Drosophila melanogaster: one gene and its partners. The protein of the gene in region 3 purifies or fractionates together with the protein of the main gene of each other region. This does not show direct contact. Each region holds a gene or a part of one and is shown on either strand. Other genes may lie near its edges.

Region 1 (3,955 bases), on a different chromosome or scaffold from region 3:
CAGCATGCTGCCCACCGTGCCCGGCAGCACCACATCGGTCAGTCTCTCCACGAACTTGTGGTTGTGTATGAGGACGTTGGTGTCCAGCACAAAGTACATGTAATCCTCAAGCCTTGGGGGCAGCTCCTCGGCATCGGCCGCCTGCAGCATCAATATAGTGTCGTCCTCTTCCTTAGCCTCATCCTGACCTTTCTGTGGCGCCTCCTCTTCAATGGACTCCGCCGGCAGCATCAATAGAGTGTCGTCCCCTTTCTTAGCCTCATCCTGATCATTCTGTGCCGCCTCCTCTTCAATAGACTCCTGCCATTCCATGGGCTCGACCTCCATATCGCTGGCCGTCGAGCCATCAAATGCACTTGGATTTGTGATGTTGCAGGCTTCTGGTTGTTTTTCTATCACCTCTTCGTTGATCTTGGCCACAATATTGTTGTTGCGCTCCTCATATAGCTGCTTCTGCTGCAGCGAAGCTCTTAACAGCATGAGACGCTGGTAGGCTAGGGAGACGATAAGGAGAACATGGGATATGAGTAACTATATGCACCGGGCACTCACCAGTTTGGGTACGTCCCGCCTTCAGGCGATTGGCATCGACCAGGGCTTTTGGCTTTTCCCAGGCATTCATCGCCACCTTAGGCGGAAACTTCAGGAGTCGCTGGGGCGTAGATGTGGACGCACTTGATCGACGAGATGCGGAGGAACTGTGGGTGATCCGCTTGGTGGTCCCCTGCTCCTTCTCGTTGTCCTGCACCCGCTTTAGTTGGCCCTGCAGGCGCTTGAGGCGGTCCTGGGCGGGATGCTGGCTCACTCCTTGCCATATTGCGTGGAAAAGTGGAGTTGAATCTTGGTTCTGGCATTCTGGCAAACGCGCAGTTTGCATGGGTTTTACCATTTGACGGACGTGGCGTGCTGATGATCCTAACCAGCTGGTCGTCGTCCAACGGCCTCAGATTGGAAGACTTTGGCGTGTGCTTACTTTCTCCACCGAGCGACATATTGTGTTCTTTAACATTTGATTTCTAGGAAGTACTCATTTATTTTGTATTTCAATAGGCAATCTGACTTAGAGGTGGAGAAACATCGATGACATCATCGATATCATCGATCTTTTCAAACAATCACAAGCATCGATGTTTTTCGAGGAATCATCGATGTTCTTCCATACATCGGAGGACAAAAGTATATAAATTGGGGGTATAAATTAAATTCGGATATAACTTTGTTATGATTTATTTAAAATACTCCTTATTTATATAAGCAATATTTTTTTTTAATTATTATTTATTAAGTGAAGTAATAAGAAATATTAAAAATGAAAATAATCTTAAATTAAACAGAAACAATGTTTTGTTTTTATTTAAAGCATAAATGTTTATGTTCAAATTAATTTAAGTTATAAACCATAAAATAAATTAAATGAGTATATGTAATTCTACGGCATACATTTTGGCGTGGAAGCTAAATACGAATTCATACAATGAATAGCTTATAACTAAAATTTACTGTAATAATCTATAGCATAAGTTGTTTTAAGCCATTGAATTTGAATAGCTAAAGATTTCATTTATAAAGACTTGAATGCTGCCACCTTAATTGTTGCAAAAACATGTTCTTGAAATAATAAGTTGCCAAGTTAGTTAGCTTGCCAAATAAAATCTTCACTGTTTGCCTGCTCGAGGTAATTTATATTTAAAAGTTCTTTCAAAATCTTGCAAATTAATTGCTTGGTAATAAACAAATTGATTTAAATTTAAATTTAAAAAAAAACTCAAAATTTAAAAGCTAAGCCAATGATAGGAGCCCCCTAACCGGTAGGCAGTATTTTCAAGCGGCGCACATACGGTCACACTGCACGGTTTCGAATCGCTTAACAAGTTTTTGCTTAAAAAGCTTTGCCGAGCACTAAGTAACCACCGCCTTTCGCACCCACAACACAACGCCACCAGCCAGAACAATGATCAAGGTACGTGGGGTGCTGTAAATAAGGATCACACTGCGATTAGACGGGAATTAGTGCAGCAAAAGCGGCCGATGACTGCGCGGCCGGGGTGCAAAGTCCAATTGGGATGTGAACTCGTGTCTATTATAAACATGGAGTCCCATAAATAACTGTATCTCTGCCCACAGCGATGTACCTTGTACCCAGCCAACAATTAGCATTACTTCCCCACCGAGTTATACAATAATACAATGCGGCTTATCGGGAAACTGGACACCGAACGCATCGGTCAGCTGCTTTCGAAATAATAAGATAAACCGGCATCGGATTATAAGTTTATCTGCAAATTGAGGATCGTGCTATTTCTATACTAACTTTAACGGACAACTTCTCAATGTTGTTAAAGATAAGGATCTCAGTCCTACAGATCGTATATTTTGCATTCTATATGCTTATTCTGTTAAGATCTCTAAACATTGATGTTGTAGTTGGGATGAAATGGAATGGAGTGCATTTTTAGAATCTATTTCCTTGGATATATACATATATATATAGTTTCTAACCCCATGCCTTTCCCACCCCCAGAACGCCGTTTCCCTGGTGACCGGAGGAGCCTCTGGACTGGGCCGCGCCACCGCCGAGCGCCTGGCCAAGCAGGGCGCCAGCGTGATCCTGGCCGATCTGCCCTCCTCCAAGGGCAACGAGGTGGCCAAGGAGCTGGGCGACAAGGTGGTCTTCGTGCCCGTGGACGTGACCTCCGAGAAGGATGTGAGCGCCGCTCTGCAGACGGCCAAGGATAAGTTCGGTCGTCTGGATCTGACTGTGAACTGTGCGGGCACAGCCACCGCGGTAAAGACGTTCAACTTCAACAAGAACGTGGCGCACCGCCTGGAAGACTTCCAGCGGGTGATCAACATCAATACCGTGGGCACGTTCAATGTGATCCGTCTGTCCGCCGGACTGATGGGCGCCAATGAGCCCAATCAGGATGGACAGCGCGGCGTGATCGTGAACACCGCCTCGGTGGCTGCCTTTGATGGCCAGATCGGCCAGGCGGCCTACTCCGCCTCCAAGGCAGCCGTGGTGGGCATGACCCTGCCCATTGCCCGTGACTTGAGCACCCAGGGCATACGTATCTGCACCATTGCACCGGGTTTGTTCAACACGCCTATGCTGGCCGCCCTGCCGGAGAAGGTGCGCACCTTCCTGGCCAAGTCCATACCGTTCCCGCAGCGCCTGGGCGAGCCCAGTGAGTACGCCCACCTGGTGCAGGCCATCTACGAGAATCCGCTGCTCAACGGCGAGGTCATCCGTATCGACGGTGCTCTGCGCATGATGCCCTAGATCCGGCTGAGCACTGTCTTGGACCTGTGGAAGTGGCTCGATCAGTTTGCATTTATCTATTGTCTAGTGGTTAAGCTGAAAAGTTTTATTATCTGTCCCGAAATTATGTAATAATTGCTATTAAACACACAATGTCACATTTCAAATTTTGGAGGCGCGTCTGCCTGCTGTTCTTCAACACTGGTTATATATAAGGGATAGCTGGGGTGTATTGGCTGCACAGGTCGTTGCAACAGGTGGATTAATTTTTTGTAAGTCAATTTTATTACTGACTTACTATTTGTGCAATTAATTCTTAAGCAACCATGTATTTATAATAAGAAAATAGTTTACTATCATATTTACAAAGTTGGTCTGAGCTTAAATATTTATTGAATAAAAGGGTATTTCTAAGTCGCTAGCCCTTAAGATTTCCCTGTTGTTCCCGCAAGTTGGCAGTTCCGTTTCAAAATGTAAACAACGAACATTTGAAAATCGCTCTTCAGAAGATAATGCCATATCAGCGCTGCTGAGCCGGGAACTTCGTAGGGCAGCTGGCGGGGATCAGGAGAATGTACCCCCTGTCCAGCAAACGGATCGCTTGGGAACACAAGACGCAGAGCAATTTAAGTGGAAGGAATCCCCGGCAGGAGATGATGCACTGGTGGTCAATGAGGATGCATTTTAAGTGAAGAA
Region 2 (4,599 bases), on a different chromosome or scaffold from region 3:
TATGGATACAATGGCAGCCCAATATTAAAGCTCAGCTCTTAAGGCCTTCTCCCTATCGGAACTAACCCACACCCGAGCTGCTCTTATCGAGCACCTGCATTTGCAATGCAAAGCAGGGGGTGTAAGGTAGCTTTCGGCACCTTGGGCATGTGATAGCCACCAAGTTCAAGCCGACCAAGTTTGTGGTTTGCGGCGGAGGCGATGACGCCGACGACGTGGCTGGCTTCCCCAATTTGAGCTGCTTAGTTAGTTGGAATAGAGACGTCCGCCATGCCCCATCGACTGCGGCAGAACCTGCTGTTACCCCAACCGCCCACGGTGGTCCTGCACGATCCTCGCACCCACCTGCGGCACCTGCCACCCGCCTACAGTGCCGCACAGACTCCGCTGAGCAAGGAGCGGGACTTTGGGGCGCAGGTGCGCTACTACCTAGAGGCGCCTCGCAAGCCCAAGTTTCGACCCTGCAAGGTCATCTTCGTGGGCGACTGCTCCGTGGGCAAGACGGCCATCGTCAATCGGTGAGCATGGCATGGCATATAGGCATTACTAAATTAATTAACTTACACAATCATCCGCAGATTTTGCTACGACAAATTTCAGTCGAACTACAAGGCCACCATTGGCGTGGACTTTGAGCTGGAGAACTTCAGCATTCTGGGTCACAACTACAGTCTGGAAATGTGGGTCAACTGCCTAGAAGGCGCTATCAGTTTGGTTTTGAAATGTGCTCTACTTGCAGGTGGGACACTGCTGGTCAGGAGCGCTTCAGGTGCATCGCCGGAGCCTATTATCGCAATGCGAGTGGTAAGTACCAACTAATTAAATCATTAGGAGAGAGTTTTAACAATACAAATCCATAACCAAAGTGATTGTGGTCACCTACGACATGTCGAAGAAGGATTCGCTGGAGTCGGCAAAAAAATGGCTAAATAGCGCACTCAACTACAATGCAAGCAAGAGACCCTTGGTTTTCCTGGTGGGCACAAAAGCAGACCTCTTGGTAAACCACCTTTCCAACAAAAGATTCAAGTAATAGCACTTACTTTTCAGTCGAAGGAGGAGTTTGTACGCATGGAACGACTGGCAGGGTTGGCAGCCGCCGAGCTTCAGGCGGAATATTGGTCCGTTTCGGCGCGATCTGGCTTCAAAGTTACGGAATTATTCCAAAGGATCGCTGCCCTGGCCTTTGAAGAGGCTGTAATGCAGGAAATTAGGTCTATTAAGAATAAGCCTCAGGAACAGGCCACTCAGGCATCTGTTAAATCGCAAACTTTTGGTAAGCCGCTATTCGAAAATTCTTATCCTATCAGCTTATATTTATTCTTATTTAGATTTACGCAACTTCTTTGGAAGCCGCCTCTCGCAACAGAAAAGTGGCTGTACTTGCTAGCCTGCAGATTGCACAACTTGTATTTTTAGCTTAACGTAAGACATTGAATAAAACAGTTTTAAACAATTTGGTTACTTCTTTCGCTTTAAATTCGAATTCAACAAGTACCGTTACATTTTAAACACCGTTAGCGTTGCCACTCATTTTTGCGGCTGTGTTGCACGCGCACAGTGTCAAGATAGCAAGCCAGACACGGCTAATAAGTGCCGCAGCAGTGTTGCCAAACGCACTGAATGCGTGCCAAATTCCAGCTATCTGGCCACCCTCCTGTCAAAACGGGCTTCCGCCTTTTGACAACTGCCCCTCAGTTTTCCTTTTCATTTCTTTTTCTCGTAGAAATGCCACCCAAAAAGCCAACCGAGAAATCCGGTAAGGATTTTTCATTCAAAAATATGCGAAAAATGCGTGAATCGATCAGCAAAAGGGAGACGACAGCTCAGCCCACCAGAAGGCAATCGAATTTGTGCGAAATATTGTGATTTTAAGGCATAAATGTGTTCGAACAGATAATCCGTAGTTTCGGCCACGTGCGGTGTGTCTGCGTGGGAATGTCCAAGTGTGTGTTCAGAATGGGATAGTATAGCAACCGAGTGAGCAATCCAAAGTTGAATTTATTCGAATGGAGCTGGATGAGTCGGAAAGCGTCCCATTGCCTTGCTGATCGATCAGGCCTAACCTAACTTTGTGCGTCGAGAGCCGAACATGTTTACTAATCCGTGGACTCCGCGCTCTTCTGTTTACAGCCAAGCCTGGCGACAAGAAGCCAGAGCAGAAGAAGACTGCTGCGGCTCCCGCTGCCGGCAAGAAGGAGGCTGCTCCCTCGGCTGCCAAGCCAGCTGCCGCTGCGCCCAAGAAGGCTGCTGCCCCAGCGGCTAAGAAGGCTGCTCCGGCCGCCAAGAAGCCAGCGACCGCCGGTGCTGCTGCCAAGAAGCCCGCGGCCGTAAAGACGACCGCGGCCGCCAAGGCCAAGAGCAAGGATGCCAAGAAGAAGGTCCTCGCCGGCAAGAAGCCCCAGTCCGTGCTGGCCAAGCTCTCTGCCAAGGCTCGCGCGGCCGCCAAGGCCAAGAAGGGCGTGAAGCCCGTGACCAAGCCCGCCAAGGGAACCGCCAAGGCCAAGGCTGTGGCTCTGCTGAACGCCAAGAAGGTCCAGAAGAAGGTGTGCATCAGCTGCTTAATATTGAGGAGATCGACTCGGACTAACCTCGTTCTTTGTTGCTCTTTTCGAACAGATCATCAAGGGCGCCTTCGGCACCCGTGCCCGCAAGATCCGCACCAACGTGCACTTCCGTCGGCCAACCACCCTGAAGCTGCCCAGGAGTCCCAAGTACCCCAGGAAATCGGTGCCCACCAGGAACCGCATGGACGCGTACAACATCATCAAGTACCCACTGACCACCGAGGCGGCCATGAAGAAGATCGAGGACAACAACACCCTGGTCTTCCTCACACACCTGCGCGCCAACAAGAACCACGTGCGTGCCGCAGTGCGCAAGCTCTACGACATCAAGGTGGCCAAGGTGAACGTGCTCATCCGGCCCGATGGCCAGAAGAAGGCCTATGTGCGCCTGGCGCGCGACTACGACGCCCTGGACATTGCCAACAAGATCGGCATCATATAAGCGCTGCAATCTGCGGTAACGTGTGGAATGGGCATCGCGTTCTACATTTTATATGTAGATTCTTTTCTATAAACAAAGTAATGCTAAGCTGACACGGTAGAGCGAGGATGAACGTTTCAAAGTTGTCTGGGTTTAATAAAACCACTCAAAAACTAAGTGTGGGTTTTCAATGTGGGCTCAATGGGTTCTGAGTTTCTTTCAGTTTTCTCTTTCAGATTGGATACTTCAGGTTTTAGCGCTCTAAATTGGTGAGTTTTTAATAACAAGCAATCTTTCAATTTGCTAATACTACCTTCTATCGCAGGCTGTCTTTAAATGGGAAGCTTAACTTGCTAAACGAAGAGGTAATTAAAGTTTTATTTTGTAATTTTAATGTATAACACTTAGCTGATGATATTACGAGTAGGAATCTCATTGAAATAACCATGAAATCAATTTTATCTCCACTGATAGCATTATGCTCAAGGAAGCTGAACTCAACCAAACCAAGCTAATCAAGACTTTATTTCGTTTCAGTTTTCAATCTGGCTCGTATCTGGATCCTTGGATATGAAATTCTTCAAGGTGTGTATATTTCGGATGGAGTAGTTTGAATTGTAATCTGCTCTGATGATATTTCGAGTAGGAATCTCATTGAGCTACCTGTAGCTATGAAATCAATTTTAATCTCCCACTGATCAAATCATTTCAAACAACAATGGCTTCTCTTAAAGCGCTTTATTTAACAATTCTTTTTTAATTCATTTCAGTTGCGCCATTGTTTCCCGATTCTCTGGACTAACTTCTTATAAGGTGTGTATCTGTTTTAGTTACTGACAACTTCTTTATTGTGATGATATTTTGAGTAGGAATCTCATTGAGCCTCAGTCATTCGTTGCTTTGAAATTAATTTTGTCTCTCACTGATTGCAAGCATAAAAGCAAATATGTTCATCGTTGTGAAGCATAACTAACCAAGTGTTTGCTTTTATTTTTACAGAAGTGGCCCGATTAATGGATTAATGAGTTAATTCTTAAAGTACATTTAATTGAAATATATATAGAAATAAAACAGAATCCTGAACCTAAACAATTGTACATTTTATTGCTGGCACTCGTATCTTTAGTATCTGCGGAACTGCTTCCTAAACTTATCATAATGGTAGTCATCTGTGGCTCGCTTGACTCCATTGGGATTCGTCTGATGCTGTGCGGATTTGTTGCCCTCCCTTTCCTCACGCTTGCGCCTCCTTTGATCGCTGTTGTCCTCGATGTTGACTGGAAGTAACAAAGGTTTAGTATCCGCGGAAACGTTTCACACTTGGGAACTCACATCGATTGTGTTGCATGAAGTTCACCGCCATGTTGGTGGGCACGAATTGCGAGGGTCCGTCCTTCTTGTTCTTGGCGTCCTGCAGCAGCTTCTGCTTGGCTTCCTCGGTGGCCTCTATGTTGCGGATCTTGGCCACAATGCCCAGGTCCACTTCAGGAATGCCATTGAGCATCTGGTTGGACAACATCTCCTCCGATCTGTGCGAGGAAGACTGCCTCAGGTGGTCGGGCAGGGCGTACAGGGCGGCATCCTCGGGGGTCAGGTACTTGTTTACATCAC
Region 3 (4,413 bases):
CAACGCCGGGTTTCCCTACTACGTTAACTTCAGCTTCAGGCACGACTTCAACCCTTCGATTTTTCAAGGGAGGGTCATCAAGTGCGACACCGGGGCCATTATGTCCGATGGCAGCGTGCAGGCGGGCCAAAGTGGAGGACCGATGTTCGACCAGAATGGATGCATCCTAGGCGTTTGTGTGTCCAACATTAAATTAGACGACGTCGTCTACCCAAACATAAATACAGCCATTCCAATTTGTGATATCCGCAACACGTTGCAGCAGTTTGCACGCACCAACGGTGAGCAGAATGTCGAATCGATGGTTTCTAGCTTATCTTAATTCTTTGCAGACTTAAATGTGCTTAGCAACCTGGTAGCCAGTCCAGATGTACACCGCGTGTGGTCTCTGGAAATGCCCCCCATTCGCAGCAAACTCTGAGGAGACTCGTGCATTGTTCATTGTTAACGAAACTGTAATTAGTGTTTTTATATAATATGGCCGGTTAGCCAGGCTTTTAAGATTAAACAAGATATTGTAAAAAAAGAAAATATATATATATATATAAATTTATTAATATGGTAAGAAATTGTGCTTAGTTTTTATCCAAACAATCGTTAACGTGACTCTGAAGCACGCTTAAGGCGTTAAAGGACTTTGAACAGATCGGACATCGCAAAGTGGTGTCTGAAGTCCGGGATGAGGCGCCTGTTGGGTCGAGAATCTACCGATACAAAAATTAGTATTGACATTTATGGACTTTGGAATCAGCGTACTCTTACTGGTCTCTGCTCCTCTCGCAAATTGCTTCTGCTTGAACTCAGCGGAGAAGCGGTCGAGCACGCCTTGCTTGCCTTGTGGGACTCGGCCAGAGCTTCGATAAGCTCCTGGTTCCTCCTCTGCAATGATCGCAAGTCCATAAGATACTGATCTTTCTCTCCGGCATTCTTCTCGCGATCTGCCCGCTCCATTTCAAAGTCCCTGCGGTAGATATCGTTTTGGATCTGTAGACCTTTGATCACCTCCTGCTTCTGGATGTCCCTGGCCTTCAGCTCGTTAATATCCAGCTGCATTTTCTTTATCAGCTCCTGGGATTTTGATTCGGTTGCATACTCTGGTACGAACTCAAACGAGTGCTGAAATAACAGAAGAAAAAGGGTGCGAGCCCGGAAGAGAATATTTTAAAGAGATACTGTCCAGTTTACAATGCAGAATAGCAATGATTGCGAGTCTGTATGCAAGTATTTGCCCTATCGCTTGGAGCAACTGGTAGACATACATTTAGCTGTTTCAGTTTGTCAATCTCCACGCGCATGTTGTCGATCAGGGACTGTTTCTCAGATACGCTCTTACGAAGCTCATCCTGCTCCTTTAGCCTGATGGTATGAACCCCTTCAATCTGCTCGATTTTCGTCTCTAGGTCCCTCTTCAGCTCTTGGTTTTCCACGCGAAGGATCGCGATTTGCGCTTGGCACTCTTTCACATGCTCCTTGTACTGGTGTTCTCGGTCGGCGGCTTCCTGGCGCCATTGTTGAGTCAGGTTGTGGTAGTTCAGCATGGTTTGGTTGACCTTGTCAAGTGTGCCTGGCCGGATAATGGCATATTATTGCTGTATATTACTTTACGGGAAAAAAATGCTCACTCTTTAGCGCGAGGTACTCGGTCATCATGTTCTGCAGCTTAACTACTTCCTCTGCGGAGCCCTGCAACGAGCAGAGGCTGGGAAACTGCGAATAAACACTGTTCTGTGGTTGGATTTAGAGACTGTTGTTAGAATTTAAACAGACCAGACGGTAACCAGACGCTCACCTTCAGGACATCGGATTGAATTTCTCCCATAATGAAGCTGGTCGCCAGGGATTGTTGCTGGGAAGATCCGGAATCCAGCGATTTGTGCTGCTGCTGCGATGCAGTGATGCTGACTGGAATACAGTTCACTGTTGGCGGCTGAGTGCTCGTAGAGGCAACGGTTTCCTTCGCCTCCTGCGCGTTACCACATACGTCGGACCGCAAGGAACTGTCCGGCATGAGCGAGGAGCACGGCGAGCTACCCAAGATAACGAATGACTCTTCGTCCGACATGTCTCCGTTGTCGCGGTAGCAATGGCGGGTATTAATAATCAGATTTTACGACTGTGAACGCAGGTGAGGGAATTCCCCTCTTTCGAAAACTAGACGGCAAAGTATTAGCCAAATCGATTAATTTGATATCGGCAATAGTAAGGATAAATGTATAATAAATGAGTTTTAGGGCAATGATTCATTAGGCGTGGGAATTACATCGACGCGTCACAATGGAATAAGCAATTGTCATGTTTATTGCATATATACCTTATATACTACTGCGTTCCTTATCTCGTTTTGCTTTGCTGACAAGCTTTAAGGAAATAAAATTGTTTTCGGAGTAATATTTACTTTTAACTAATTTACCAAACAACTTAGACCAGTGTGACCGCAATCGTTTCAAATGTGCCTTTTTTTGTGTCATTGATTGTCATATTGTCATAATCGGAAATGTTATCGACAATCGGCGAGCTCGTCTATCTAAATTTAAAAGCAGCTAATTTCAATAAAACTGATTACACGCCCAAAACTCGTGCATATGAAGTGCAGTTTGCACTGCAAGGGCGGTGGAAAGTCCCGGCATCATTTATTCAAGCCCAGTGACGTGCATCCCAATTTACCTTCCTTTGTTGCTCAGCTGAGATTAATGGGCGCGTCCTAAAGGCCTGAGCCTGACAAACCAGTTGCCAGCGAAATTACACCGAAATGTAATTGCCAAAACTCGCAAATTCTAATGGACGGCGCAGTGCGTTCTGAACCCGCCAAACCGGATTCAGTACCTCCATTGTTCGGCTCAACTCTGTAGATGTGGGTTAATAAGGCTTTCGCGTGTTAAATATAGGTGTGAGTGGAGCTCGCGACAAGGAACTGGTGGCTGGCCGAGATGCGACTTTCGTATTACCATAACCAACCGGTTCCTGGCTATGTGCACAGACCGCATCCCCATCCTCATTTCCATCCCAATCCACACATTTTAGAATTAATACGTTCGTAACAATGATAATCATCATGCGGTTTATTACTCAAGAATCTCTATGTGATCTTACGACTAATGCACGCGAATAAATAAAATTAAAAAAACTTAAACGAATACGATACGAAATTCCATTAAAGCTCAAGTGCATTCAAGAAAACTCCTCAAACGGCTACAACTAGAAGACTCACACGTTCACTCTCGCACTCTATGATGCAGGATCTCCTCATCTGCTCTATCACATTCACACAAGGACTTAGGTCTAGGCCTGCGGATCCTCTGACCGCGATCTTACGCCTGTTGCTGGCGGAACAGACGCCTCTGCGTCTGGTGGGGTGGCTGGAGGTCGCTCTGCAGGATAGAGGCGAAGTGCTGCTGCTTTAAGGAGCTGATTGTGGCGATCTTGCGGTGCCTGTTGGGCTGAGCGGCGGCCAGACCAAGATGAAAGTAGGGCAGGTCTTCGTCCCGCGGCAGTGGCATCATCTTGTCCTCCTCCACCGGGGAGCCATCGGGTCGCACCCGGATCACCAAAGGTCCGGTGAGGAATCTTTTGGACGGTTCTGAAGTCAGTGCGGCGGCCATTGGGAGCTCACTGCTGGACTGCGGCCCGTAGCCGTAGGCCTTGTCCATGTCCATGGCGTATTTGTGCTTCTGCTCGCCGCTCTCGAAGATTGGATTGGTGGCGGAGCCGGAGCTCTGGATGGGGTGGGCATGGGATGCTCCGTGCGGAAGTTGCTGGCGCGTTAGGATGATCAGAGAGGACGCAGGAGGAGTTGGCAGGGGCTGTTGGAGCGGCTGCCTCGTTGTCACCAGGCTGGCTCCGCTCGGATGGTCCCCCATAATCGATGACCAGACTGCGGAAGAAAAGAGCGATTAGATCGACACCGAGATTTAGAGCTCACGTCGAGCACGTCGCGACTGCGCACTGCGGAAGTTCTGACGCGGAAATCAATCATTCTCCCACGCAGATAGAGGCACTTACTCAGCTCGTTGGCATCGCGCTGATACGGATCTAGTGCCTCCAGCTGTACGTCGGAGAGCGTCTGCAGCTTGGCGGACCCGTAACCGAGCAGGTTGTGCTTGCACTGGTTCACTGGGAGGCCTCCGACGGCGGCTGTTGACTTGCAGTGCACGCTTACCAATTGAGCGAATGTTGAGTAGAGGTGGGACATCTGCAAAGTAACAAAATTGGTGGTTATTTTAATGGCGTCTTGTGTTTAAGAATCAAGTTATAGAAATTAGAAAGCAGATCATCGCTTCTCTGTTCACCAGCCGAATATGGTATTGATTTGTCATAAACGAAAATCGGAGAACATATGTCGGTGATATTAGAAAAAAAAAGAAAAAAGAAAGTTCGAAGCAATCATACTTCGACCAGGTCTCTTGGGTAACGCAG

The links. The genes of interacting proteins can lie anywhere in the genome.
Region 1: the proteins of key (region 3) and scu purify together in Drosophila melanogaster (affinity purification with mass spectrometry, with the first as the bait; one large-scale study listed by BioGRID). This does not show direct contact.
Region 2: the proteins of key (region 3) and RpL23A purify together in Drosophila melanogaster (affinity purification with mass spectrometry, with the first as the bait; one large-scale study listed by BioGRID). This does not show direct contact.

Annotation. Positions count from the first base shown.
Region 1 is NC_004354.4:18,089,431-18,093,385, forward strand, and holds scu (scully), read left to right. Parts: upstream 1-1,828; 5' UTR 1,829-1,951; coding exon 1,952-1,960; intron 1,961-2,124; exon of another isoform or gene 2,125-2,224; intron 2,225-2,521; coding exon 2,522-3,280; 3' UTR 3,281-3,423; downstream 3,424-3,955. Other genes in the region: Swt1 RNA endoribonuclease, read right to left, coding at 1-494, 553-807, 887-992. UniProt on the Drosophila melanogaster protein: Mitochondrial dehydrogenase involved in pathways of fatty acid, and steroid metabolism.
Region 2 is NT_037436.4:1,665,756-1,670,354, reverse strand, and holds RpL23A (ribosomal protein L23A), read left to right. Parts: upstream 1-1,700; 5' UTR 1,701-1,728; coding exon 1,729-1,759; intron 1,760-2,133; coding exon 2,134-2,546; intron 2,547-2,619; coding exon 2,620-3,009; 3' UTR 3,010-3,257; intron 3,258-3,313; 3' UTR 3,314-3,353; intron 3,354-3,390; exon of another isoform or gene 3,391-3,463; intron 3,464-3,525; 3' UTR 3,526-3,573; intron 3,574-3,609; exon of another isoform or gene 3,610-3,690; intron 3,691-3,758; 3' UTR 3,759-3,801; exon of another isoform or gene 3,802-3,987; 3' UTR 3,988-4,067; downstream 4,068-4,599. Other genes in the region: RabX5, read left to right, coding at 271-518, 579-680, 740-804, 867-1,000, 1,051-1,276, 1,332-1,390; CG7974 (uncharacterized protein), read right to left, coding at 4,111-4,265, 4,321-4,599.
Region 3 is NT_033778.4:24,784,980-24,789,392, forward strand, and holds key (kenny), read right to left. Parts: upstream 2,433-4,413; 5' UTR 2,312-2,432; intron 2,152-2,311; 5' UTR 2,063-2,151; coding exon 1,790-2,062; intron 1,726-1,789; coding exon 1,623-1,725; intron 1,565-1,622; coding exon 1,260-1,564; intron 1,117-1,259; coding exon 757-1,116; intron 705-756; coding exon 576-704; 3' UTR 535-575; downstream 1-534. Other genes in the region: CG3589 (uncharacterized protein), read left to right, coding at 1-281, 333-421; Reg-5 (rhythmically expressed gene 5), read right to left, coding at 3,309-3,871, 4,000-4,189.